Diceros bicornis minor: one gene and its partners. The protein of the gene in region 3 interacts with the protein of the main gene of each other region in a biochemical or structural test. Links are inferred from orthologs where the notes say so. Each region holds a gene or a part of one and is shown on either strand. Other genes may lie near its edges.

Region 1 (7,901 bases), on a different chromosome or scaffold from region 3:
GGGTGATGAAAATGTTCTAAAATTGATTGTGATGATAGTTGAACAATTCTGTGAAATACTAAAAATCACTGAATAGAATTGTACGATATGTGAATTATATATAAACTGTTAAAAATTTTTAAGCAAAAATAACCAATACAGACATAAAACTACATAAATCTTCTATAATGAATATGTATTTCTTTTATACTTGGGGGAAAACAATATATGTACTTCTTAAACCAAAATCATCCATTGGAACATACTATAATCCAATCCATGGAGCATGAAATGCAGATAGACTGGAAAAGTGTTGGGAAAGTCAACTTGTGGAATCAATTCTACTGAGAAAACTGAGAAGAGAGGGCCACTTTAACATGCTAAACTTACAATTATTGAAGAGAGCGCTTAAATGCTTTTATTTGTGAGGCATACTAGTTAAAGAATAGGTGGGATCACAAAAAGTCCTTCCTCCTCATAACTGAAATAAGAAAAGCAATGTGTAAATAAAGTGTGGGAAAGATGACACTAGTGCTTATTAAGGACTTTTAAATGGATGTGATCCCAACAAATTACCAGTGACAGAGGTCAAAAGGCCGCAATAACTGCTTTCTTTACTTGTTTACCCTTTCTAAAATTTACTTTTGAGAAAACTTTACTTATTCATTTTAATTTGTGATCAAGGGCTGTGCTGGAGCCTAAGCTGAAAGAACAGTTTTAACTGTTATGCTGTTTTAACTAAATCCAGACAATAAAGCCCTCACGAAGTAAGGCCAGGTTACACAGCCAGAAGATTCCTATATATTAATATTAGTTTGCATCTTCTCTAAGAAATTTTGTTGCCCTTCAGACAAAACATTTTTTTCATCTAATTGTTCAGAAAGCCACTTAAAAGTAAACAGAGCAAAAGTAAAATGTAGCTCAGATTGTGATCTTCACAAACTCAAATTAAGTCCAAATCAATAAATTCTGATTGCATTTCCCTTAATTTCTCCCAGTGCATCTGCTTGAGAATTGCACTGCACAAGAACTAAGAGCGTTGGTCTCCAGCACCGGTTGTATAACTGGTTTCCTCAGGAACCTCAACAAGTTGGAGAAGCTCTCATCACTTGAAGCTTGTACTTTCAGAACTGGAAAAACAGAGCACGTAGCCTGTATCACGGGGCCAAGAGACAAAATTCGGTGGGAGAAAAAAATTACTTTGAGGCCAATAACAGATTGGATATTAAAATGGATGTTGATAGGGTGACATGGATAGAGAACAGCTGCCAGTACTATCATTTTCCTGTTTCCTTTTTGACACTGCTTTCATTTTCTTTTTCAAATCTCTCTGATAAATGAAAGGCAGATGGGGGCTAAAAAAATCTTGGGCTGTTGCAATATTAAGCAGAAAGTAAATAAAAACAGACCTAGACTAAACAAGTTGGTTTAAAAAACAAACCAACAAGCAAAGACACATCATTCAACAACATACTTTTAACTTTTCACCTCTGCTTCTTGCATTTATTTCTACTCTGACTTTAGTGTCCTCATCAATTCATCCAAAATAACTCCTCACTGACCAAGTGCTCCGCAGTGCACTTGTGTTCAGCGCCCCGTGGTGCCACACTAAAATTGTGTTCGGAACATTCAGATTGTTGACTTTTGTTCAAAGGTCACTCCCTTCCTAGTAGCTTTTTAAATTGGAGGCCTCTAAAGGCCCAGGTTGTTTTGGTCCATTCATAATCATTCTGGACAATCTGTTCCAATGAGTGTTCCCTGTCTTTCTCGAGGAAAGATGCCACCGAGTTTATTAAATTAATCATTTTACAACTTTGCTACCCATACGAGCATTCTACTCATAATACAGTTTCAGTGCAATACTGGGTTTGAATGGTTTAAGTTTGGGGCATAACTGCTCCCACTTATGCTGTGACCGAACCTGACATTATTAGCTTCTATTTGTTGAAAGCTGCTCTCTCAAAGTTATATAACGTTTGCTCTCCATCCAACTATCCCCAACTCCTAGAAAAATTATTTTTTTAATCTCCCAGCTTCCACGACTACTTTCTCACACTCAGTAAACATGTCGAGACACCACTTTCCGCATATTCATCAGCGCTGTCGACTGACCAAATCGGTGCAAAAACGCACTGAAGGGGGGAAGAGGGAGAACAGTGTCGTCTGCAGCCTTCGGTGCCTCGGGCAGTCCCAGAAACAAAGTAGGGAGTCTGTTAAGGTAGCATGTTTCGGTGGAGGAGGCAGTGCTTCACTTATCTCAGAAAAAGGAGTCAGGAGAATAAAGTAGTGCGATTACACCCGAAAAATCAGAAAACGTCTTTCCCTCCCCTCTCCCAAGGGCTGTCAAAAAGGGCAAAGGCCCTTGTGTTGGGGACTTAACGGGAGTGTCGGGGAAGAAGGGCTAAGGGAAGAACTGTGGGTTCTCCCGGGCAGAAAGGGAGTGTAGAGGTGGCTGGTGCACAGAGCAGCTCGGAGGGCTCTGTGAGGATAAAGCGGGCAGGGGACGGGCCGGATCGGTGGCCTCTCGGGCCATTACCCACAAGGCGAGGCAGAGAGCCCAGCCGCTACGGGATTTCCAGGAGTCGCTTCCTCCCCCGGGGCGCCGCCAGCGAGGGCCGGACGTCCTCGCCCGGGTCCCGACACTCACCCCCGCGGTCTCCTCGGCCGAACATTCCAGCAAACTCCGGTCGATGGCCTGCATCTCGAGCTCCAGCTCCGACGCCATCTTCTCTCCTCCTCCTCCCCAGCGCTGACGCCGCTACCGCCGCCCCGAGGGCCGCAGCCTCGCCACAGCCCCGGCGGCCGAGACCGCCACCCCTGCCCCAGGCAGTCGGTCCGGAGTCGTCCAGGCGGCTGCAGGTGGAGAAGACGGAGAGTAGCGTGAGCGGAGCCGGACAGGAGGGACGGCGGCCTCCTGCGCTCCCTCCCGGCTCAGCGCCCAAGAGTCAAGTCACTGCCCCGTCCCTGCCCCGGGGAAGGACACACAGGGCCCCTGGCCTGGCACTCTCGCTCGCTACTACCGCGTCCCGCACCGGGAAAGGGGCAATAACACCCAAGAGAGGAAGCCGAGCATTCTGGGAACTGTAGTCGTCCTTGACACTGCCGGGAAGAAGGTGGGGCTCTTATAGGGTGCCCCACGACGGCATTGTGGGAGTTGTAGTCCATCTCTTAATAAGGGAACAGGCAAAGGGCAGATAAGCGGACGGGGCTTTTTTTGCACAACTAGAATCCTGGGAAGAGACTAGTGGAAAGAAGCGCCCACCTGGGAAGAGGCAGAAGAGCAAGATATTGTGGGAACTGTAGTTTTATTCTCCCAACCCCGTTTGTTCATTTTTGTATCCCCAGATCCCAGAACAGTGCTGGGCAAGTGGTAGACAATCAAGCACTTGTCAAAGCTTGGCATATGAGCTTGCCACTCAAACACTTGTCAAAGGAACGAATGAATTACATTCTATTCCTATAGTTCTATGGCCCTGTCATCCACCATTCCCTCATCCTTTAGATTAGTAACCGAGGTGAACATAATCCAGGTTTTTAAAGGTTTTAAAATATGTTTAAATGCTGTTAAAGAAAACATTTCTAAGTGATTTAGTTATGACCACTTAACAAAATTGATTACAAATCTTGCTGCAAAGGAAAAGGAGTCTAGCAAGCCAATTCAAAGATTTGCTCCTGATAGGGACATTTTATAGAAAGATAATCATTGTTAGATTAGATACAAAAGAAAATTATGTTTGGTTAGAGGTAATTAGGCTCTTGACTGACAATTGGGTGAGTGGGTTTCTTAGAACAAGTCTTCAATTCCTTTAGAGTTTATCAGAAAATTGCTTACACAGTTTACCAAGCATGCTACTTTATTCCCAGAGGGAGATTGTGAATCATGTGAGGCAAAAAAACCCACAAAACCAGTTCTGACCCAATCCAGGTTTGGGACATGTTTTTGTTGTTGTTACTGTTGTTAACAATACAGATGGTCCCTGACTTACAATGGTTCGATTTATACTTTTTCTACTTTGCTGATGGTGTCAAAGGGATATGCATTCAGTGGAAACTGAAACTATACTTCAAATTTGAATTTTGATCTTGTCCCAGGCTAGCCATATGCTGGTTGATACTCTCTCGTGATGCTGGGCAACGGCGGTGAGCAGCAGCTCCCAGTCAGCCACGCAATCACGATGGTGAACAACTGATACACTTACAACCATTCTGTTCCCATACAACCATTCTGTTTTTCACTTTCAGTACAGTGTACAGTATTCAATCAATTACATGAGCTATTCAACACTTTATTATAAAATAGGCTCTGCGTTAGATGGTTTTGCCCAGCTGTTGGCTAATGTCAGTGTTCTGAGCACGTTTAAGGTAGACCAGGTAGACAGACGATCAAGCTATGATGTTGGGTAGGTTAGAGGTATTAAATGCATTTTTGACTTACGATATTTTCAATTTACAGTGGGTTTGTAGTTGAGGAAGATCTGTACTACAATATTAACAAAGTTGTTTGTTTGTTTGTTTGTTTGTTTTGTGAGGAAGATCAGCCCTGAGCTAACATCCGTGCTAATCCTCCTCTTTTTGCTGAGGAAGACGGGCTCTGAGCTAACATCTATTGCCAATCCTCCTCCTTTTTTTTTCCCCCAAAGCCCCAGTAGATAGCTGTATGTCATAGTTGCACATCCTTCTAGTTGCTGTATGCGGGACGCGGCCCCAGCATGGCCGAAGAAGCAGTGCGTCGGTGCGCGCCCGGCATCCGAACCCCAGCAGCCAGTAACAGAGTGGGTGCACTTAACCACTAAGCCACAGGGCTGGCCCCAAAGTATTTTTTAAGAAAATAAAAATTACCCATAACCTCACAGTCCATATAAGCCTTATTACTTTTAAAAATAAAAGTAACATATGTAGGGCTGGCCCCGTGGCTTAGCGGTTAAGTGCGTGCGCTCCGCTGCTGGCGGCCCGGGTTCGGATCCCGGGCGCGCACCGATGCACCGCTTCTCCGGCCATGCTGGGGCCGCGTCCCACGTGCAGCGGCTGGAAGGATGTGCAGCTATGACATGCAGCTATCTACTGGGGCTTTGGGGGGAAAATAAATAAATAAAATCTTTAAAAAAAAAAATTAAAAAAAAAAGTAACATGTATAAGATTAGAAATTCAAGCTCACTAGGAATATTTTTCAAAGGAAAAATGAAAACTACCCCTCTTACTCCAAGTTCTTCCTCCCAAAGAAAATCATTTTTAATACTTTGTTATGATTCTATCCAGAAAAAAATGTATGCATGTATCTGCATAGATATCTAGAATGAGATATCTTGAAATGTTCTTCTACATGTTACTTTCTTCTTTGCCCGACTTCCTTCCACTGATGCACTCCCTAGTCAGAGTCAACCTGGAAGAAAATCGGGATTGTTACCACCTAGAAGCAAAGATAATGCCTCTTTAAGTGTCCTAACATAGAATTAAAGCCATTAAAATAGATTGTAAAGAAAATTTCTGCTCTTAACATTATTATCTTCTTCCTTCTATTACTTTTGGGTTGATTTTAACGTTCTTTTTCTAAATTCTTGAGTTGGATGTTTGCTATTAATCTTTCTCTTTTTTTCAATATGTACATGTAGGGCAGTGGTTCTCAAACTTGTGCATCCATCAGAATCACCTGGAGGTCTTGATAAAATACAGATTTCTGGACCCCACCCTCAGAATTTCTGATTCAATAGGTTTTGGGTGGAGACTGAAAATTGCATTTCTGTTAAGTTCCTGGGTCATTCTGCTGACCTGGGGGCTACCTTTAAGACTCACAGATTTATCAAGGCAATACATTTCCATTATATATTGCTTTAACCACATTCCACAAATTTTGGTATGTAGTGTTTTCATTATTTCATTATTTATTATTTTCATTTATTTTATTAGTTATAATTCATTTCTAAATATCTTCTAATTTTATTATGATTTCTTCTTTGATCCATGTAGCATGTTTTAAATTTTTCAAATGTGTATGACATTATTTTCTTTTGTTATTGATGTCTCATCATATACTATTGTGGGCAGAGAACATGGTCTATACTATATAGATTCTTGGTACTTGGTGACATTTGCTTTGTGAACTGGGGTCCATGGTCAAATAACTCTTCAAACCTTTTATTTCTTCAAATATTACCTTTCTTGCATTCTCTCTATTTCCTCCTTCTGGAACTTCTGTTTGACTTCCCTTTCTATTCTCCATGACTTTTCATCTCTTTTTCATTTTTCCAACTTTTAACTTTTGTGTACTGCATTCTGAATATATCTTCTAGTGTGCAAATTCTCTCTTTAGCTGTGTCTAATCTGATATTTCACTATCTACTGACTTTTTATTTTCAATGACTTCATTTCTCATTACTAGAAATTATATTTAATTCACTTACAAAGATTTCTGTTCTCCTTTCATAATGTCTTCTTATTTATTTATGGTTCTAAATCTTTGTTTTATATCTTTAATACTTTTAAATATCCTTATTCAGTAGTGTTCAATAGGTTGTTGTACTTATAAAGATCTTGAGAATCTAATTTTACTTTCTGTGTGTGTGCTAATCCTCATTTAAATGATTGTTTGCTTTGTGCTTTGTAATTATGAATTTTGAGATCATCTTTACTTAGCATTAGCTATGGGAATCTTGAGAGGCCTGTGTTAAGAGCATGTACTTTCAAAATAGTTTTCCATTTGCTTCTGCAAGGTGAGGCATTCTAGGAACATCTTATACTCAGGACCAGGCATTCTAGGAGTATCATATACCCAGGACCAATTTTTTTGGTCAGTTTCTTGGCTTGGGGGTTCCCTAATAGTATTAATTCAATTGTGTGCCATTGTCTCTGTTTGTAAATTCTTAAAGGAGAGTTATTTTCCTACCCAGAGTCAAGGTTAAAAGCTTCCTTGTCATTTCCCTCTGCCAGTCAGTGAGTTTTTTTCTAGTCTATCCTTTCACTGATGTTACATTCCTTTGAAAGCCCTGGCTTTATGTGGAGATCTCAGTTTCAATTCATGTTTCTTGGACCCATGGTCTTGTCTTATGTCTTCATGTGGGCATTAAAACTTAAGCCCCAATTTCCAGTTAGACATAGCATATTGAATACCTCATGACAGCAAAGAGGAAAAAGGAAAGACAGAATAGGAGTGGAGATGACAGCACCAAAATTTTGGAAAGTGGAAAGCAAATGGACGAGAAGTAACTGACTTAGCAATCAGAGAATGCTGAAACCTAAGCCAGCAGTACCGCCACCCAGAAACAATCTTATTCATATGCAGAACTCTGAGAGACTTAGAAATTTGAAGCACCATGTTACTCTGAAAGTGGACAAAGACGATGCTAAAAGCAAGAATATTTTTGAAAGTCTGTATAGCAAGAAGTTAGATCACCCCACTTTCAAGGTGGGAACCTTGAAAGAAGACTGGAGGTTTATCCTCTAGAGAGGCATACCTGAGGGTCTTTGGACTGGGAGACACCAGGCACAGCTAAGTACAGGGACACTGTATTGAATACTAGGGTGTTAATTCAAGTCTATACACCCAATAGGTTGACTCCAGTGCATTCCCCACCCCACCCCCAGCTCTGAAAACACCAGTGGCTGGCTTATACCTCCGTTCCATGCAGAAGTTTGAGAGAATCTTCTCCAGAGAGACTGATCAGCTCAAAAGAAAGAAAATCTGGCAGAGGACTGGGACCCTATATTAGACTGCTGGGGCTGCCATAACACAATACCACAGACTACATGGCTTAAATAACAGAAATTTATTTTCTCACGCTTCTGGAGTCTGGAAGTCCAAGATCAAAGTGCCAGCAGGGTTGGTTTCTGGTGAAGCCTCTCTCTTGGCTTGCAGACAACTAACCTCTGGCTGTGTCCTCCCATGGCCTTTCCTCTGTGTGTGTGGAGAGATAGAGGTCTCTGGTGTC
Region 2 (7,464 bases), on a different chromosome or scaffold from region 3:
TTCTCAAACCTTTTTCAAATCAGTCCTTCCACCGTATCCACACTACCTCTGAGGTCCTGCAGTTTCAGACCTTATCATTTTCCTGGGTAAGTGTACATGAGATAAAGCTCACAAGCCATCCACCTTCTCTCTTCTATCTTTTTCTACTTATCTCCATCTGGCATACATAAAAAGTTCTATGAGAGCCAGGACTCAGTTTTGACAACTGTTACATACCCAGGGCTTGGTATATAAAAGGTGCTTAATCAATATTCGTTGAATGAACAACTGAATGACGTAGGTGGGGCATGGATCATACAGGTCTCTAAAAGTTAAGGAATGAAGATTTTATCATAAAGCCAAGTGGGGATTAAAGGGAATAACATGATCAGATCTGGATGTAAGAAAGACTGCTCTAACTTCAGGAAAGAACCGAAGGGGGCTTAAGAGACAAGGAGCAGTTAAGAGGGAGTGATCTCATAAATACCAGAGAGAGGTGACAGTAACAGACCTAGCGAACAGACAGTGTGACTAGGAAGTGAATACATTTGAGAGGATACTTAGAATCAACAGACCCTTAATAAGTGATAGGCTAGAAGGAGTGGAAGAAGAGAGTAAAGAAAAGGGATAAAGTCTAGGTCTGTGCCTTGGGCGAGTGGGTGGATGGTGCCATTCATTCAACTAGGGAACTTGGAGAGGCAGGTTTGGTGGGGAAAGTTCATAAGCTGAGATTGAAGTGCCTGTGGAACATCCAAGGGCAGACAGATTTCAGAGAAGTGGATAAACGGATCTGAACCTCAGGAGAAAATTTGGGTTGGTGACAGATTTGGCAAACATCAGCATGTTATTAGGTGGAACTTAGAAAACTGCCATTTTTGTAGGTCAAAAATTGGCAAAATTTCATATGGTCCAACCTAAGAGATAGAAATTTAAGTCTTCTGGATGACCTCACCAGGGACTGTGTGGTTAGTGAGAAGTCTTATGATAAAACCCCTAGAAACACTATGATTTAAAGGACAAGCAGAAGAAAAGGAGGACAAGAAGGAATGGTAAAAGCAGAAGGGAAACCAAGAAGTGTCAATGCCATCTTCTAACTCTGGTACCGAGCACTTAGCAAGTACTTAAAAGTGTGTTTTCAATTAATCTTCAAGGGTTCCACAGATGTTATCATCAGCTGTAACTACACACTGCAGGGTGCATCATTCACACTAAATTCCGTATGATCAGAGCCCCAACACCAGGGAGCACCATTCACCAGAATATAATGTTATTGGTGCCCCTCGGAGTTGTGTAAAGCAATGGCTCTGACCATCAGGAACCAATAACCTTTGTTTTCCTGCTTGCATGAGACTAGGGAGGTCACAGGTGCCACCAGTAGACCTAAGGCTCAATCAAGACAGCAAGAGAAAGGAAAGAAAAAGAGGAAAGGGAGAAAAATTAAACACAATCAGAAGAATAAAGAAGAACCCGTGGAAAAAGGGTAGAGCCAATGCTCTCAGATGATCTTTAGTGTTTCCAAGCCCAACTCATTTCTCTAGAAGCATCCTTGCCCACTCATCTCATAGCCCTGTTGTGACAAGTAAATTAAATCATGCATGCAAAGCCCCTGGTCAAGATTAACTCCTCTACACAAATGTGAACGATGACTGTTATTAAAGGCTTCTACTCATCTGTATGACTTTGGACTGCTTTGCCTCAAGATTTGGGGGAGAACGACTATATGAATTTAATTACTCCTCACATTTTTATAGTGCTTTAGAGCTCAGGAGAACTTGAAACCCACTATCTTAGTCCCTCCTGGGCAGGGTTAGTGCTCTTCTCCCACAATTTACAGAGGCCCTAATATTAGGTGGGACCATATGAAACTGACATTTTATAGGTCAAAAATGGTCTAAGATTGGCAATTTCACATGGTTCAACCTAACAGACTTCTAATGAAGTTGTTCATAGTTACAAGCAACAGCTGACGGAGTTTAGAACTGAGGTCTTCTTATTCCTGACCAGTCTAGGCCTCTTCCATTACTAAAAGGAGACTCTGGAAGCACATTTCAAAATGGTATCAATTTCTTACTCGAAAGGCAAGCAACGGGCTAGATCTCTCAAGCTGGAGGTTACAGTGTAAAACCACATTGGCCTGCTCTGCAGGAATAGCTATTAAATACACTGTGACCCCTCAATGAGTCCTCACAATACCATCTCTGAGGGTAACGGGATGGTAAGGAACACACTGACGGAGCACCTACCGTATGCTAAGGCACATCCCATAATTATTTCATTGGATCCTCACAGTAACAGTCTGAAGTACGTATCTTGATTGTCAGTGTACACATGAGCTGTCTGAGGCTCAGACCAGTTAAACGTCTGGCCCAAGGTCACACTGCTGGTTACCGGCAGGGCCAGCCAATGCAGGAGAAGCCAGAGCCGTCCAACTCTAAAGCCCGCCCCCTCTCCTTGAAGTCGAGCTGCCTCCCAGGAAGTTTTTCACAACTATCCCCATGTGGAAGAGGAAAGCTGTGCCAGGAGGGATGAAACGACACGCCCAAGGTCACACGGCTTGCAGGCGACGGCACAAGGATCCCCGGGCTCAGGCCCAGTCCAGAAGCCGCCCTCGTTCTAGTTACTGTCGGAGGGGGCGAGGGGGCGAATGCTGGGGTGGAGGTAACGGAAAAAGGAATCTAATCGCTGGATGGGGCGCACAGCCGGGCCAGGTCGGCGCCCTCACACATCCAGCGAAAGGTGAAGGAGCCCTCCGGCACCAGCCCGGTCCCGCCGCCGGGCTCAGGAGCGGCCGGCAGGCGGATGGGCGCGGCGCTCCCCGGCCGCCGGAGACCCCGGCCCAGGGGACGGTCTCCCGCTCCCCCGTCCCCGGCCGGGCCCGAGGCCCTCCCAGGATACTCTAATCGCTTCCCCGCCCTCCCCGTCCCTGAGAGACCCGGTCTCTACGCCTCACCCGGGCTGTGCCGCCGCCGGCACCACGTCCCCTTCAACATCCACATCCGCCTCTTCAGCCGCCATGATGGGACCTGACCGCATCCGGCATCCCGAGAGATCCCGCGAGAGGCGGAGGGCCTAGGGGCGGGGCCGACGCGTCACGGGGCGGAGTCGCAGCCTCGTCCAGCCCCTCCCGTGGCGGGGAGGCGGGGCTTCCAGAGAAAAGCAGCCCGCTGCAGCCCAGGCGCGGTCTTTCTGACTTTAGTGACGCGCGAAGACCTTGGGAAGTGGCTTAGGCTTGGGCTTTGAAGAGACCATGCGCTTGCACAAATTCTCTGGCGCCTCACTTCTTTCATTTGTAAGATGGGGATAATAGTAGATATCTTTCTGGAGTGCAGGAAAGGGCACGCCAGACCTGCTTTGAACCGTAAGGTGGCAACAATGAAGGACCCTTACCTGCTTCTTTTCTTTTTTTTTTTAAGAAAAGGATCGTTCGGCACTTATGTGAAGCGGTGAACAACTTTTATTTTAAAATTAAGCAAACATTTAAGAATATAATTTATGATTGCATGTTTTATTTTGTGGAAATCTTTATAATTAACGAAAAAATTACTTTCGTCTCGTCACCATTGATCTTTGCAATAACCCAGTGAGGTAGGCAGGACTGGTGTCATCAGTCACACAGATGAGGAAACTGAGGCTCAGAAAGCTGAAATGACTATGAGAGGATACACAGCTATTCAAAGACAGGGCTGGGACCACAATCCAGCTCTCTTGACTCTTTACTGAGTGCTCACCCTCTACAAATCGTGTTGTTAGGAACTATGACAGATAAACACCATGTTTCTCAAAGAATTTATGGCCCCTCAAGAAATTAGATATTGGCCTTATGTATTCTTCTACCTTAGTATCTATCACTCACATTATTGTAACTGTTCATTCGCTTGTCTGCCTCCACCACTGGACTGTGAATTCTCTCAAGACAAAGGCTGTATCTGCTAGTCTTTATACTACCAACATTCAGCATGGTGTCTGATACATAGTAGGTGCTCAATAAATATCAAACTGATGAACGAATGAACCAATAAATCAATGAAATGAGTTCACTTCCCACACTATTCTGGATTTGTCCCATCTCACCTTTGCTTGTGCTCAGGGCATAAGATGAGCTGTACTGTGAATGTGATGGCAGAAGGTAGGTAGAAAGATTTGTAAAGAGGGAGATCCAGTGCTCAGAAACTGGATAGTGCCCTAGCCTTAGGCCACCGTGGGAATGCTGTTCCTGTTGTCAAATGGCTTATCCAATGATCAGTCCCAATGGTAACTGGCATACCTGGCACAGAGTAGGCATTCTAAGATGTTTGATGAATTTAATTTAGAGCAAGGTTAGAAAGATGTACATGGCCAGATAGTCAAAAGAAATGTCAAATACACATGCTTTTAATTGATCTTTACGTAGCAGGCTGAGATGGGAACCCTAGCAGGACAATCTGGATACACATGATATCAAATGTCTCCTAGACCATAAAACAGAATACCATGTGAACAGCATCTCCTGCAATGCAGCACTGGAGGTCTTCTGGCCCAGTGCCAGACATCAATAGGCATTAAAATATATGTGGAAGAAAGGAAAGGCCTGCACAGAATTCAAGTATACCCCCAAGGTCTTTAGATGAAGAGGCCTCCCTAAACAGGGAGACTAGTCTGAAGCCTTCCCATACATACCCCACACCATGCTCCTGGTTAGTTAGCTTTGTGTGAAATAGGTTCATAAGTGTCTAAGCCCAACTCCACCTGCCAGGATAGGGCTATAACCTCACAGTCAGGTGAACTCTTGACTGAGGCCTGGCTACTATTTAAAATTCTCTTTTCTAGAGGTCTGCAACTCTGTGACTTGTTTAAAGACCCATTTTCTCACCAAGTAGTTTGAAAGCAGGATGAAGAATTCAGAATTCATATTTCACAAATACTTTTTGTACTCCTACTGTGCTTGATACTGGGGAAATGGCATTGAACAAGATGGACTCAGTCTCTGCTCTCGTAAAGTCTATCAAACATGCAATTTCAAGATGATATAATAAGTTCTATGATGGAGGAGTTACAGGCTGCTGGGGGGGTCACAGAGGACGGACACTTATCTCAGAATCAACCCTTTGCTGTACCACATTTTTGAGGAGGTTATTGATCAGTCAAAATTTGAGAGTAATGTTCTAGACTCGGGAATGCAAGATAGAAGACTCTGTTCCTAACTTAGAGAAAGAACAAATGGAAAAAGATTAGCAGGAATAGTGCCTGGTACTTATACAGAGCTAGGAATAGTGCCTATTCCCACTGACCAGACTGGAAAACCTCATGATTCGTGAAGCACTGGGTAGATAACTCGGAATAGTATTGCCTAAGTCATGGAGAATAATAAGCTCTGGGTGGAGCACTGCTCTGGTACTGCCTAACAAATCTTCAAGACAAGATCTGAAAGGATCAAACTGTTTCCAGGTAAATGTAACTGTGCCCTCCCTCCCCAAAAAATCTCAAGAATATTTGTAGGAATACAAAAATTCCCAGCACCCAACAGAACAAATTTCAAAATATCTGGCATCCAATTACCAGGCATGCAAAGAAGTAGGAAAATATGACCCATAATAAGGAAAAAAAGTCAATCAATTGAAACCCATCCAGTACTGACACAGATGTTAGAATTAGCATACTAAGACATTAAAACAGTTATTTTAACTATATTCCATATGTTCAGAAAGTAGAGACATGGAAAATACAAAAAGGAATGAAATTGAATTTCTAGAGATAAAAACTACAATGCCTGAGAAGAAAAATATACTGGATGAGACTAGTGGCAAAGTAGACATTGCAAAGGAAAGTATTGGTGAACCTGAGCACATAATAAAAGAACTATCTAAAATGAAACACACTAAGAAATAAAAAGGTTAAGAAGTGTACAGAAAATCAGTGAGGACAACTTCAAGCCTCCTAATATATGCGTAATGGGAGTCTCTGAAAAGTGAAGGGTGGGAGGTCAGGAAAAATATTAGAAGAAATAATGATTGAAAATTTTTCCAAATTTGAAGAAAACTGTAAACTTACAGATCCAAGAAACTCAAGGAACCCCGGGCAGAAGAAACATAAGGAAAACTACACCAAACCACACTGTAATCAAATTGCTCAAAACCAGTGATAAAGAGGAAAACTTTCCAGAGAATAAAGGCATGTTACCTACAGTGGGAAGATAAGAATGACAACAAACTTATTGTTGGAAACACTGGAGGTAAGAAGATGGTGAGTCAATATCTTTAAATTACTGAAAGGAAAAAAGTCAGACAACTTAGAGAACTGTACACCTACCAAAATATCTTTCAAAAATGAAGGCAAAGTTAAGCCTTTCTAAGACACAAAATCTGAAAGAACTCGTCATCCTATCTTTACAACAAGAAATGTTAAAGGACATCCTTCAGGCAGAAAGAAATGATAGATGAAAATCCTGATCTGCATAAAAGGAGGAAGAATGCAGGGAATAGAAACTACAGTCACATGCCACATAACAACGTTTCAGTCAAGGATGGACTGCATATACGACGGTGGTTGCATAAGATGAGTACCATATAGGCCGGGTGTGCAGTAGGCTATAGGATCTAGGTTTGTGTAAGTACACTCTGTGATGTGTGCACAAGAACGAAATCACCTAATGGAGCATTTCTTAGAACGTATCCCCCTCGTTAAGCAATGCATGACTGTACATGGTAAATATATAAGATTTTTTCTTAGAGTTTAAATCTCTTTAAAAGAGAGTTGACTGTTTAAACAAAAATAATAACAATGTAGTGTGAGATTTATAACATATGTATAATTAAAGTATATGACAACAATAATATAAAGTCTGATGAGAAATGCAAGTATATTATGTAAGGTTATTATATGAAGTGGTATAATATCACTTGAATATGTTATCACTGTGATATACTACAGATGTATTGTATAAACCCTAAAGTAATCACTACAATAACAAAACAAAGTTGGCTTGAAATGTGGACAAACAAAAAAACAAAATAAAATCTTCTCTCATTTATGCCTTATGTTTCCTATGGGCACTAAGCTAATTATTGAGAATTCCCTTCTCTCCACATCCTCTCCAGCACTTGTTGTTTTTGTCTTGATAATTATAGCCATTCTGACGAGAGTGAGGTGATATCTCATTGTAGATTTGATTTGCATTTCCCTGATAGTTAATGATGTTGAACATCTTTTCGTGTGCCTGTTGGCCATCTGTATATCTTCTTTGGGGAAATATCTGTTCAGGTCTTTTGCCCTGTTGAGGTGTATGAGTTCTTTATATATTTTGGAGATTAATCCCTTATCAGATATATGATTTGCAAATATCTTCTCCCAAATGTTGGGTTGTCTTTTCATTTTATTGATGGTTTCCTTTGCTGTGCAGAAGCTTTTTAGTTTGATATAGTCCTATTTGTTTATTTTTTCTATTGTTTCCCTTGCCTGGTCATACATGGTGCTTGAAAATATTTTGCTAAGACTGATGTTGAAGAGCAT
Region 3 (5,113 bases):
CCAGACCTGGGAAAGAGCAAACAGGTTTAGGGCAAGATGAGTAGACCATTTTAACCAGAGCAGAAAACCTGATAGGGGAGCAGTAGGAGATACAGCTGTAAAAGAAGGAAGAGGCAGATTATGAAGGGCCTTGAATATCAAGCTTTTTAAAAGTGTGCATTGGATTGCAGTTCCACCACTTACTTCCTAAATGATCCAGAACAAGTTATTTAACTTCTCCGAGACTCAGTTTCCTTTATCTGTAAAGTAAGAACGATAATAACGAAATCTATCTTAAATGGTGACCGTGAGGATTAAATGAGGTAATGCATGTAAACCACTTAGCAGAGCACCAGGTAAATAGATAAGTGCTCAGTATGTACAAGCAATTATTATTATAACAATTATTGTCATTAACCCCAATATAAGCAAACATATACAGATGTTTGAGCAGGAGAAAGAAAGGATCAGAGAGGTTCTTTAGGAGGATTAATCTCACCATCACTAATTACCTCCCCTCCAGAGTTAAAATACCAAACTCGATCACTTCTACCCACTCCTCATTCTGTAACTTCCTTCCTAGTAAACACCATACCCAGGCAGAGCCCACAACCAGCAATAAGGTTCTCTCATGTTAGTGAAGGGATTCCAGCTGGTGAGCCCCCTACCACGTGGGGACAAACTGAGATGTGTCATGGCCTCTGGGATGGAGAACCAGAGCCTCCAATCCCATCCTCAAGACTTTTAGCCACCACCACCACCATAGATTTATATCCAGGGTACATCCTGAAGAGAATAAAACAGGTGGTATTTCTTTTAATTTTAAAGCATATATATTTCCCCCCAAAACCCAGGGAGGGGTCCAGGTTTTCAGAGTGGTCTTTCTTTCTCAAGTCCCTTAAGCACTGAACTAAGAGTTTATTCTCTGGAGAGTTTCTGAGGAGAAGCCTCTCTGTGCCTCAATTTCCTCATCTGTAAAATGAGAGATAATAATGGTAACTACTTCATCAGGTTCTTGTGAGGATTAAATGAGTCAATGTGTGTAAAGGGCCTAGAACATTGGCACATAGTGAGTGCTCTGTAGGTGTCAGCTAAACTTTCTTAAGGACTTTACTTTTTCTATCTTGTTTATAATGCTTCGTATTTGTGGTCATGTATTTTTCAATTACTAAGCAATTACAGTGTCCTCATAACAGGATATTTCAGCCCCAGTGCACCTCTGGTGTAGAAGTAAGTTTTGCTGATGGCTTATAAATACGCATCCTCCAAGTCAGAGGCACCCAGCTTTTCCATAGACCCAGTAGTCGTTGTATCTGTTAATTTCATTTAATTAGAAAATATACTGCAGATAAAAGAATCCAGCCAAGCTTTTAAATTAATTGGTCACTTTATTAATAACAATAGAATCTACACACATTTGAAAACATACATGTAGGAAACATAAGATTTAATCAGTCTATGGTAATGTCTGGAGTCCATTTGGATTCATGAAACCCCTGCAATCAACTCCGGGACCCCTTAGCCAAAAGCAGAGTTTAATAACTGATCAGACCATCAGTGTATTTATCAGCAAAATCAAGGCTTGGACAGAAAGGTTCAACATTCTGTAATCACACAAAATAAAACTAAAATGCAATTGTCCTCGCATCTGAGGATACAAAGGTGGACAATGTTAGCTGCATGGCCAGCGGACCAATCACTGTGCTTCTCTCAACCTCATTTGTAGAAGGGATATTAACTTTGCGTATCTTACAGGGTCCCCTGAAAAGCAAATGAGATCGCGAGTGTAAATTAAAAGCTCATCTCGGTGGGGAACACAGGATGAGGACGGTGGAATTGGGGGAAGGGTGTCAGAAAAAGAGAAAGGAAAAGGATCTTTTCAGGGACCAACGCTCTGAATTTAATTAAAATCCAAAATAGGTTACATTAAACTGAGAAGCATAAAGGGAGGACTAACCACTGCCGCCTCTTCTTAGGCGCAATAAGAATTTTAACACAGGCCTCCTCCTGGTTGTTGCCCTGAGGTGACTATCATCAGACTTGGGAAAGGAGCTCCAAAACTACTTCCATTTTCATCAGGTCTTCCCATATATTTAATGGAAATGAACCGCACCCATCCATCCAAGGAAGCGATTAAGCAAGGAGTGGAATAGGAAAATTAATTCAAAAAGTATTAATTCAATAAGTATGTACATGTCCACTATGTGTCAGGCACGGATTGGCACTGATGATACAGGGGAACACCAGACCCGCCAAGTCTCTGTCAAGGGCTTGAGGAGAAAGCCCCACAAACAATAAGATAAACGAACCACACAATTTCTGACAGCAACTAACAGGAAGATAAAACAGTTGAGGCACCAGGACAGGCAGGAACGGGGCGCGAATTCCTGAGTGGATGACTTGGGTAGGTGACTTTCAGCCCAGACCTAAATGACCAATGCCTTGCGGTGACCCGAGGCTAGAACGGTCCAAAGAGAGCATTCAAAGAAAAAATGATTCACAAATCGATCAATAGGAATTTCAAAGTCTCAAAGTGAGCGGCGAAAACCAGAACCTACGAAGTCTGGAGCCGCGTGTGGTTTTGAATATTCACGTCGTCCAATCAGGGGAAGGCTGGGACCCAGCACCGCTGGCTCTGCCCGAGGTGCCCGAAACTGCTGGTATCCACAGGGAGCCACACCGCAGGGCAGAACTGGTGACCGGAGACCCAAGAGGCTGCCACTCTCGGGAGAATTCTTCAGAGCTGTGACGCAGTGTTCGCAGGACCCCGAGCTTAGTTGTGTCCTGGGGTCCTTTCTTAAATGAGGATGCCCGAAATCTCACTTCGTTTTAGAACGCCAATAAAACATACCCAACAAAGCCACCAAGACACTGTAGTCTGGGGCCGGACGGTGGGGAGGAGCGTATTCGTAGCATCCTAATTTAGAACTGACTCATAGGAAAACCAAACACAGTAAGGGGTTAAGACGCGCCCTAGATTCAAAAGCAAAGCCAGTCACGCGCCAGGAACCTCAAGTCAGAAGAGCTTAAAATGCTACGAGTGCCATCTTCCACGACCTTTAGCCAACTAGAATAATTTACTTTGCGAGAAAGAACTAAGAGAAAACTAAGTGAACAGAGCTCTTTTCTGGTGATTAAGTGGGTGGCTCTGAAAAGAGCCTTTGGAGTCAAGCGGGCGGCGGCTCGTGCGAGCACCGCGTCCCGGCAGGGACTCACTTGGAGCTGGTGTACTTGGTGACCGCCTTGGTGCCCTCGGACACGGCGTGCTTGGCCAGCTCGCCGGGCAGCAGCAGGCGCACGGCCGTCTGGATCTCCCGGGACGTGATGGTCGAGCGCTTGTTGTAATGCGCCAGGCGGGACGCTTCGCCGGCGATGCGCTCGAAGATGTCGTTGACGAAGGAGTTCATGATGCCCATGGCCTTGGACGAAATGCCGGTGTCCGGGTGCACCTGCTTCAGCACCTTGTACACGTAGATGGAATAACTCTCCTTGCGGCTGCGCTTGCGCTTCTTGCCATCTTTTTTCTGGGCTTTGGTGACCGCTTTCTTCGAACCCTTTTTGGGCGCGGGAGCAGATTTTGCCGGCTCAGGCATTGTAATACACAACACCGATTAGCAAATAAAAGTATGAGAATGGGCGGGCCTGATCCTTTTATAACTACCGTATGCAAATTAGGGCTCCAAAAGTCTCTCGCTCCCATTGGGCCATGTAAGGACCTTGCGTTATCAGTAAAAGCTACGTAACAACACACACTCTTGACCTTATTGGCCGATTCTGGAGCCAATTTAGGACCAATGAAAAACTCGTTCCTGACTCCACCCCTAGGAAAGCTTATAAAGGCTTTCCAATTGCCGATCTTTCAAAACTGTTTTGTTGCAGAGTTTCTGGGCTTTAGGTATTTGTTATAACTTGATTTTTTAATATGTCCGGTCGTGGAAAACAGGGAGGTAAGGCTCGCGCTAAAGCTAAGTCGCGTTCGTCCCGTGCAGGCCTTCAGTTCCCGGTGGGACGAGTGCACCGCCTGCTGCGCAAAGGCAACTATGCCGAGCGGGTGGGGGCAGGCGCGCCGGTGTATATGGCGGCGGTTCTCGAGTACCTGACGGCGGAGATCCTAGAGCTGGCGGGGAACGCGGCCCGCGACAACAAGAAGACACGTATCATTCCTCGTCACCTCCAGTTGGCCATCCGCAACGACGAAGAGCTGAACAAGCTTTTGGGCAAAGTCACCATCGCCCAGGGCGGTGTTTTGCCGAACATCCAGGCCGTGCTGTTACCAAAGAAAACGGAAAGCCACAAAGCCAAAAGCAAATAAATCCTAACTAAGTAAACCAAAGATCAAAGGCTCTTTTTAGAGCCACCCAAGTTTTCAAAGAAAGAGCTAATGCGCTATTTCGTGATCAGCCCTTCAGTTGATACTTTAGTGGCTCTTAAAAGAGCCTTTGGGGAGAGTGGGGATGGTGTCAAGCCTCTTAATTACTTGTTCTTGCCAGGCTTGTGGCTCTCCGTTTTCTTAGGCAACAAGACAGCCTGGATATTGGGTAAGACGCCGCCCTGGGCAATGGTGACACCCCCAAGTAACTTGTTGAGCTCTTCGTCATTTCTCACAGCTAGTTGCAAATGGCGAGGGATGATGCGCGTCTTCTTATTGTCTCGGGCCGCGTTCCCCGCCAGCTCCAGAATCTCTGCGGTCAGGTATTCGAGAACCGCCGCTAGATACACCGGCGCGCCGGCCCCCACCCGCTCCGCGTAGTTGCCTTTGCGCAGCAAGCGGTGCACTCGCCCCACCGGGAACTGCAGGCCAGCGCGGGACGATCGAGACTTGGCCTTGGCGCGAGCTTTGCCTCCCTGCTTTCCGCGTCCTGACATTACGGCTAAAAACGCAGCTACAGCTTCTTTTTCAAGGAGAAGGATGTGGAAAGGATAACCAATTTGATGTAATTTATAAGAGCTACCGGGAGGGGTGATGGGAAGTAGTTTGATTGGCTAAAAGCGGAGCCCGATCAAACAGCCAATAGGAAAGCAGAAAGCAGCCTCTTCGTTTGCATCCTGCACTGCGAGGAAGTGACGGATGTCTTAAGTACCTACCAATCGCTGGGAGCCACATTAAAGGCCCTTATTTGCATGCCAGTATTTT
Region 4 (6,891 bases), on a different chromosome or scaffold from region 3:
TAGCGAGCCCCTTGCTGTCTCGCTCATTCCCATCACCACCAAAATTTACGATTCCCTCACTACATGTCACCTATCCATCCTGGGTGGGGTCCTCACACGTCCTGTTATGCCCCCGTCAAATATGCGGTTCCCGCAACACGGCTGACCACAGACCAGGCCCCGGGACCCAAGAAAACCTCGGTCCCGCCCGCTCGTCAAACCAGACGTCTTAGTGTCCCGGACCAGTGTCGCGCCCCTGGCCCCGCAGTCGACCTCGTCCGGGCAGCCGCCGCCGCCTCAGCCCATGCTGTAGTCACGCCTGCCTAGCTCCGCGAAGCCCTAGCAGCCCAACAGGACGCCGCCCCTACATAGCCCTCAGTCCCCGCTAAATCCGGGCGGCCCGCTACCATGGCAACGGGGCCGCGCCCTTCGCGCTCGTGGCCTACTGCGCAAGACCGGAATATCGCCGCGGCCGGGGACCCGGAAGGGAAACGGGGAGAGGCGGAAACGAGTGCCGGCTGGGTGCTAGGTGGAAGCCCGGTTGGGGTCGGGGGTAGGGACTAGAGGTTGCTGTCGATCAAATTGGGGCCTCCTCACAGGCTGGTTTTGAGCGGAGATAACGGAAGATCGGTATTTTGACTACAACGTGAGTGACTGAAAATCCTCTAGGGGAGGGGAACCGGGGCAGAGGCTTGTTGGAGCTGCGTCGCAGATGCCTCCACGCCAGAGAACACCTGCCGCTTGTGCTGGGTCCTTAAAGGATGGCTGGCGTCATTACGCAGAGTTGTAAAAAGAGACTTCCAAGGAAGTCTTGTTTAATTATAGTTTCCTAAGCTATCTAGTTATGTTAATATTCCATAGACCGGAGTTTGACCTCAACAGTCGACATTAATCCTTAAAAGGAGGAGAAGATTCTTAAATCAATAACATTTCTTGAACACCCTCTCTATGCTTTTAAATTTTTTCAAACTTGTGGTAATTCTTGTTTTTAAAAACTCCCTTACTACATGTCAAAACTCTAAAACTCCCTGTTTGGGAAAGTAAATAATTCAAAGCGTTCTACCACACAGATTGACATACAAGGGCACAGAAGGCAAAAAAAAAAAAAAGAGGCCGTTAGCTAACCACTCAAGAACTAGAGATGGGGTTCTGCTGGCGTGACAGCCTCCAGTAAACAAGGATATCAATGGAGCAAGTGCCCAACAGTGCCGTCCTTGTTAGGGCTTTCATTCCTTTTTTCTATGAGTTAAATGTAAAAGGCCAAATCTCACTATGCTTCCCCTAAATAAGAGAAAGCATCATTATTATCCAATAAATTCTAGTCCACTTGGTCCCATCCCACCATGCACATTAAAATCACACCTGGAGAGCTTTTAAAGAGGCCCCACCCTTAAAGGTCCTAATTTAAATGAGGTAGGGTAAAGAAATTGATATGTTAAAAGCTTCCTAAGTGTTTCTATGCTGCTACGGTTTATACTGAGAAAGAAGTGGGAGAGGTAGGAGAGGTGGGCATGGTTTGTATCACCACCAAAATATTCCAAATTGCCTTTTTTTTTTTTTTTTTTTTCCTGGTGAGGCAGATTGTCCCTGAGCTAACATCTGTGCCAGTCTTCCTCTACTTTGCATATGGGATGCTACCACAGCATGGCTTGATGAGTGATGTGTAGATCCACACCAGGGATCTGAATCTGCAAACCCAGGGCTGCTGAAGCAGTACTGTGAACTTAACCACTATGCCACCAGCTGGCCCCCAAATTGCCTTTTCTTTTAAAAAGTTATTCAACCATCTTATAAAATACTTTCTATCTATGAGTAAGAATGTCATAGTAAATCTTACAGTGGGCCCAGACTTGCTGAAAGCATATTAAATTTTTTTGTGTGGGCTAAACGTTTGCAAGAGACAAAGCATGAATCAGTGTCCCTGCCCTCAGTGAGCTCACAATCTAGAGCTACAGACTCACTACAGTATAAAATTACAGCTTTAAAACTATTCTTTCTATAGATAGGTTCTGGCAGATCTACTAAGCAGGACAGCCAGTGATTTCTGTTTATACACTGCTGTAGGACTTTAATGAAAAAACTTCACTGATTTCGTTGAAAGTATTACTTCATTTTGGAAAACTGTAAACTGTGGGTTTCCAAAACAATTACAAATTGCTAGTCAAATAACAGGGATTTAAAGAAAAAAGTTTCTCCTCAGCATTTCACTGCATGTAACACTACTGGTGTTTCTTCAACCTTGGCTATGGGGAGGATTAGGATTGCTATGGCAGGAAGGCAAAAAAATAAGAATATTCAGCTTTTGACGTAGAGAATCATATTTGCGAATGAGAGCAGGACCTATCAAGAGTTAGGCCTGACTAACCTGATCTCTAAGGCAGCTACTAAAAGCAAGAGAGAATTCAGGGTTTGAAGAAACGGAGATACCAAGAAAGTGAGGAAAGTTAACCCTTTCTAGTTCTGTAGAACTATGGGCAACTTGGGGCAATGCTAAGGTCCTTATTCCATCCTCCTCTTCCACCTTGGACTGAAGAATTACCCAAAAGAATATGAAAGTGCTCAGAGTCCTTCTGACCAGCTAAGCCCTAAGGCCAGGAATTGGAGGCAATAGAGGGAAGGAAACAGAATCCCCAGGGGTCAACACCTCTGAGCCCCCTGGTGGGGAGCATTTCAGGCCCATTTGCCCCTTACTTGCTAGCATAGAAAACCTGAAATGAGTTATCCAGGCTAGATATATAACCCCCACCTTTATCTGCCTGATCTCTCCCACAGATTTGAATCCTATTTTTAGGTGTCTCTGACAACCAACCACCCATCCACATGCTCTCTTGAGATCTCATCCCAACATTTCTTGACAAATACAAGGTACCCCATTGTGGCCAAATCCATGAACTTTTCCACACATCCTCAAATGAGAGCAGACCCATAAAGGAAAAACAAAATTCCATAATTCCATAAGGACTGTGAACAAATCTTGGACAATCTGTACACTGTTCTTTTATCTTTGCCCAGAATTTCCAACCCTGGAAACCCCACTGTAATGCACATACAGGCTATTTGGTGGCCCTAACTAAGCATTTCAGGAGATTTTACTTTGTGCGGGCCTCAGCATTCAATGCTGCACTTAGCAAAAACTGAGGTCCCTTCATTCTGCCTTCCCCATACACCAGATAAGCCATTGAACCAACCAAAGAGGATTTTGAATCCAAATTATTTTGGGACCCTTTTAAAGACTTAAGCAGCAAAACAAGCTTTTGCTTCCACCACGACTCTTCGATTGCCGTCCCTGTTTATGGGACAAACTGGAGGGAAAACTAATAAAGGTATATCCCTGCCCTCAGCCCAATAAAATTAACTACCGGCTTCATAGACCTGGCTGAGACTCAGACCAGAGCAGCACTCTCACGTGATCCGTTCTAATAGCGTCATAGGGACACGTGGTTCTAGATACTTCGCCCCCTCCCCCTCAGGGGTGGATTGTTGACAACGTCGCCATAGGTCACGTGATCTTACGTCATCCCACCTCCTTTCCCTGAAATCTCTGGCCCCGGATGCGTTCCTCTCTCCCCACCCGGTCGAGCCTAAACTAGTGAAGGGGGGAGAGACACGGTGGTGTTTCGGTTTGAGTGTCTCTTAATCCACAACCTCCAGTCTGAGAACGGAGAACACTAATTTGTTGATTAGTTCAGGCAGTCAAAATGAATATAGAGTCCTGCTGAAAGGCTCCTATAACGAGCTTTCATACGTTCCCCCGCTCCTCCGCAACCCCTCACCCTGTGGTACTGGCGAAGGGCGGAGGGATCTGGAGGCGGCGGAGGGAGACGTCATTGCAGGGTTGTTTGTGCAACCTCGGCAGCGGCGGTGACCCACAGTGATTCGACCGCCGCGCCGGGGGGTGGGGGGGGCTGTGCGGGACTCTTTTTTTTCAGACTGATCGCGGGGCAGGTGGGGAGCATGTCGACCCCGGCCCGGAGGAGGCTCATGCGGGATTTCAAGCGGTAAGGGCCCTCATCTTCGCCCGGCTGACGGCTCCTCCCCAAAGCTGCGGGGCAGCAGGGCGGGGATCCGGGACACCTTTCTCTCTTGACCCTAAGGGCCGGCTTTGGGCCCAGCGGGACCGACGGAAGCCCAGTCCTAGCTCCCGGCCGCAGTCCCTCAATCCTTGCTTGCTCACTCTTCCGACGTAAAAAATTTCGGTACCCTATCCCCGCCTCCAAAAGTAAAAAGATGGCTTTGGGCTGTCCTAGGATTCTCTGCTGCCCACTTGGACCGGCTGCCCGACGTCTCATCCTAGAGCTTGTACCTCATCCCCCCACCTCCCCGGTGCCCCCTCCCTGTCCCGTAAGAGCGAGCCCTTGCAGAAGCTTTTTCCCCGCTTGCTGCACTAGTCAGCTTTGTTCGATGGCCCTGCGGTCTCCTCTGAGGGGCTGGGTTGGGGCGAAGTCCCCCCCCCCCTCGCAGTGAGGGTGGGGTCTGCAGCGCGTGGTCTGGAGGTGGTTAACCCATCCTCCGAAACCCGACTCTCCCCGCCCGCCTGAAAGGACCTTGAGTGCTGGCTTAGAGACCTGGGCCTCGGGCTGGCAACCCCGGCTGCCAGTACCTTCTGGAATTCAGCTCTGTGGCCTGGTGTATAAAGCCCTATCTATAGCCTCCAAAGTCTGGAAAAATGCCTTCCTTGAGGCTGGCGCTAACCTGATACTCCCTGGGCCTCCTTTTGTAAAACAGGGTTTTGTTAGGAGGTGTTGGGGTTAGTGAGGAGGAAGTGACTTTTTTTCACTTGTTTACCTTTGAATACCTGGAAGTACGGAATAAAATGAGAAAACTTAGCAATGCGATCCTCTGCGCATTTTAAATGTTTTTCTGGGGAGACCTTCCCTAGTTGAGACACAATATCTAATGTAAAAACAATATCAGTCGCTCAGGAAGTAATCTCTCGACTTCGCCATTAAAAAGCCGCAGGTGAGGCATTTGGAAGCCATTGTTTTGGGCCTTGGCCCGTTTATCATTGAATATATTTGTAACTTCTCTTAGCCATTTACCTTCGTGGGCGTCAGGCAGCGTAATTCCTCTAAGGCTTCTGTTCATCGTGGCCTAATCTACTTGAGGTTGACTAAAAAGAACGATTTTTATGTGGACTAATTTCAAAGTAGCATATCACATGACAGTCACTACATATATATCTATATGTATAATGTAGCATTTATTTTTTCCTGAGTTGGTAGTCTTTAAAAGGGGATGCTTCTTTGGTGCAAACATCTTCTAACGCTTGAAATCAGTAGACTTGAGATTAGCGCCCGTGAATGAAACTCAGGTAATGAAACTTCCAGTTTGTGTCCATTGTTACCCTGCTTTCTTAAGGGATTCTCTCCTTAATTCTGAGTTGAACACATGGCGCCTCTGGTAATTTTCCAAGGGTCTTCAGGTTACAAGAATTTCACTGTCACAAATATCGGAAGGTAGCTTTGTATTGAGTCTCCTCATGTAAGAGGTGGATTTAGTGTTAGTGCAGAGCCTTTAAAATAGGGGCTGTTGGCAGCTTAACTAAAGCGTTGATTACTTTAAAAGCCATTGCTAATTGAGGCTGGTGGGATAAAGTAACTTTCCTACCTAAAACCAGTTTCCTAATGAAACTGAATATAAGTATTTTCAGTCGTTGAGTACTTACACTGAATTTTTTTTGTTTTGCGGTTTTTGTTTTGGTGGTCATGTTGTACAAGTAGCTGTGATTAGGGCTCAGTCTTTGTGTGTTTATAGCAGCACAGTTGATTGTGCTGTAAAAATATTTTTTGCACTCGAGGGTCTTTTTTCTGGTTGAGGGCAGTCTGTATACCTCAGTTCTTGAAGAGATATCTTAAACTCAGTGATATTTGAAGAGGGATGATTCCTAAGCCCTTTGGAATTTTAGATAATTTGGAGAGATATTTAATAAGTATATACCTGGTCGATTTTTTTTTTTTAAGTCATGGTTTGTTCCAGCTCAGCACAAGAACAAGAAAATGGATTTAGTGTGTGTCTCAGAGTAGATAGTATAGAGTCCATAGGTGTTCTGTTGGGCCTTCTTAGTGGCCTTCATGTTCAACTTTTAAAATTACTACTCTGGATTTCTAGATTGCAAGAGGACCCACCTGTGGGTGTCAGTGGTGCACCATCTGAAAACAACATCATGCAGTGGAATGCAGTTATATTTGGGTGAGTTGAAAAATAAAACAGGTGATAGGTGTGGTGATTCTTTAAGAACAGTGAATGTATAAGAACTAGGAAAAGAGGCTGAGGTGAAATCAGGGATCTTACAGAAACTACAAGGCTAAATCAGAAAAAAACATTTTGATGAGAGTTTTGGCAGTTACATAAAATTTATTTGCATTTTACTGTTACTATGTATAATTTTATAATCACGTTGGGTTTTACTTGATAAAAATACCATTTGAAACTAAAGGAGAATAGATAAATTATTTTGTACAAAATGTACCAAGCAAATGTTTTTGCTTGCCTTCTGTTGGAACTGTAAAAAGGTATTGAGAACTTGCACTATGGCAAGAATTTAAATGAAAAATGTTTCACAGCCCAATGTGAAATAACTGAATGAAGCCTTTTGAGAAGCAACTACATTTTACATGTTAAATATATTGCATAGATGCTTTTTTTTTTTTTTTTTGCTGGGGAAGATTCACCCTCAGCTAACATCCGTTGCCAGTCTTCCTCTTTTTTGTGTGAGGAAGATTAGCCCTGAGCTAACATCTGTGCCAATCTTCCTCTATTTCTTTTTCTATGTGGGACACCTCCACAGCATGGCTGGTAAGTGGAGTAGGTTGGAACCCATGAACCTGGGCCGCTGAAGCGGAGCACCCAGAACTTAAACCACTCAGCACCAGGGCCAGGCCTGCATATATACTTTTTACTTCAAAATTTCCT

The links.
Region 1: the proteins of histone H2A type 2-C (region 3) and UBR2 form a complex in vitro, tested with the Homo sapiens proteins (2 studies listed by BioGRID, with this or other methods). The link is inferred for Diceros bicornis minor from reciprocal best matches to the Homo sapiens genes H2AC20 and UBR2.
Region 2: of the proteins of histone H2A type 2-C (region 3) and MYSM1, one has a biochemical effect on the other in vitro, tested with the Homo sapiens proteins (2 studies listed by BioGRID). The link is inferred for Diceros bicornis minor from reciprocal best matches to the Homo sapiens genes H2AC20 and MYSM1.
Region 4: of the proteins of histone H2A type 2-C (region 3) and UBE2B, one has a biochemical effect on the other in vitro, tested with the Homo sapiens proteins (2 studies listed by BioGRID, with this or other methods). The link is inferred for Diceros bicornis minor from reciprocal best matches to the Homo sapiens genes H2AC20 and UBE2B.

What each region holds. Positions count from the first base shown.
Region 1 is NC_080753.1:22,990,597-22,998,497, forward strand, and holds the start of UBR2 (E3 ubiquitin-protein ligase UBR2), read right to left. Parts: upstream 3,010-7,901; 5' UTR 2,705-3,009; coding exon 2,627-2,704; intron 1-2,626. UniProt on the Homo sapiens protein: E3 ubiquitin-protein ligase which is a component of the N-end rule pathway.
Region 2 is NC_080752.1:20,399,620-20,407,083, forward strand, and holds the start of MYSM1 (deubiquitinase MYSM1), read right to left. Parts: upstream 3,013-7,464; coding exon 2,930-3,012; intron 2,734-2,929; exon of another isoform or gene 2,240-2,733; coding exon of another isoform or gene 2,223-2,239; intron 1-2,222. UniProt on the Homo sapiens protein: Metalloprotease with deubiquitinase activity that plays important regulator roles in hematopoietic stem cell function, blood cell production and immune response.
Region 3 is NC_080743.1:54,429,814-54,434,926, forward strand, and holds histone H2A type 2-C, read left to right. Parts: upstream 1-3,841; 5' UTR 3,842-3,901; coding exon 3,902-4,291; 3' UTR 4,292-4,452; downstream 4,453-5,113. Other genes in the region: histone H2B type 2-E, read right to left, coding at 3,192-3,572; histone H2A type 2-B, read right to left, coding at 4,453-4,845. UniProt on the Homo sapiens protein: Core component of nucleosome. Nucleosomes wrap and compact DNA into chromatin, limiting DNA accessibility to the cellular machineries which require DNA as a template.
Region 4 is NC_080740.1:53,502,042-53,508,932, forward strand, and holds the start of UBE2B (ubiquitin-conjugating enzyme E2 B), read left to right. Parts: upstream 1-3,865; 5' UTR 3,866-3,933; coding exon 3,934-3,977; intron 3,978-4,456; exon of another isoform or gene 4,457-4,938; intron 4,939-6,087; coding exon 6,088-6,168; intron 6,169-6,891. UniProt on the Homo sapiens protein: E2 ubiquitin-conjugating enzyme that accepts ubiquitin from the ubiquitin-activating enzyme E1 and transfers it to a E3 ubiquitin-protein ligase. In vitro catalyzes 'Lys-11'-, as well as 'Lys-48'- and 'Lys-63'-linked polyubiquitination.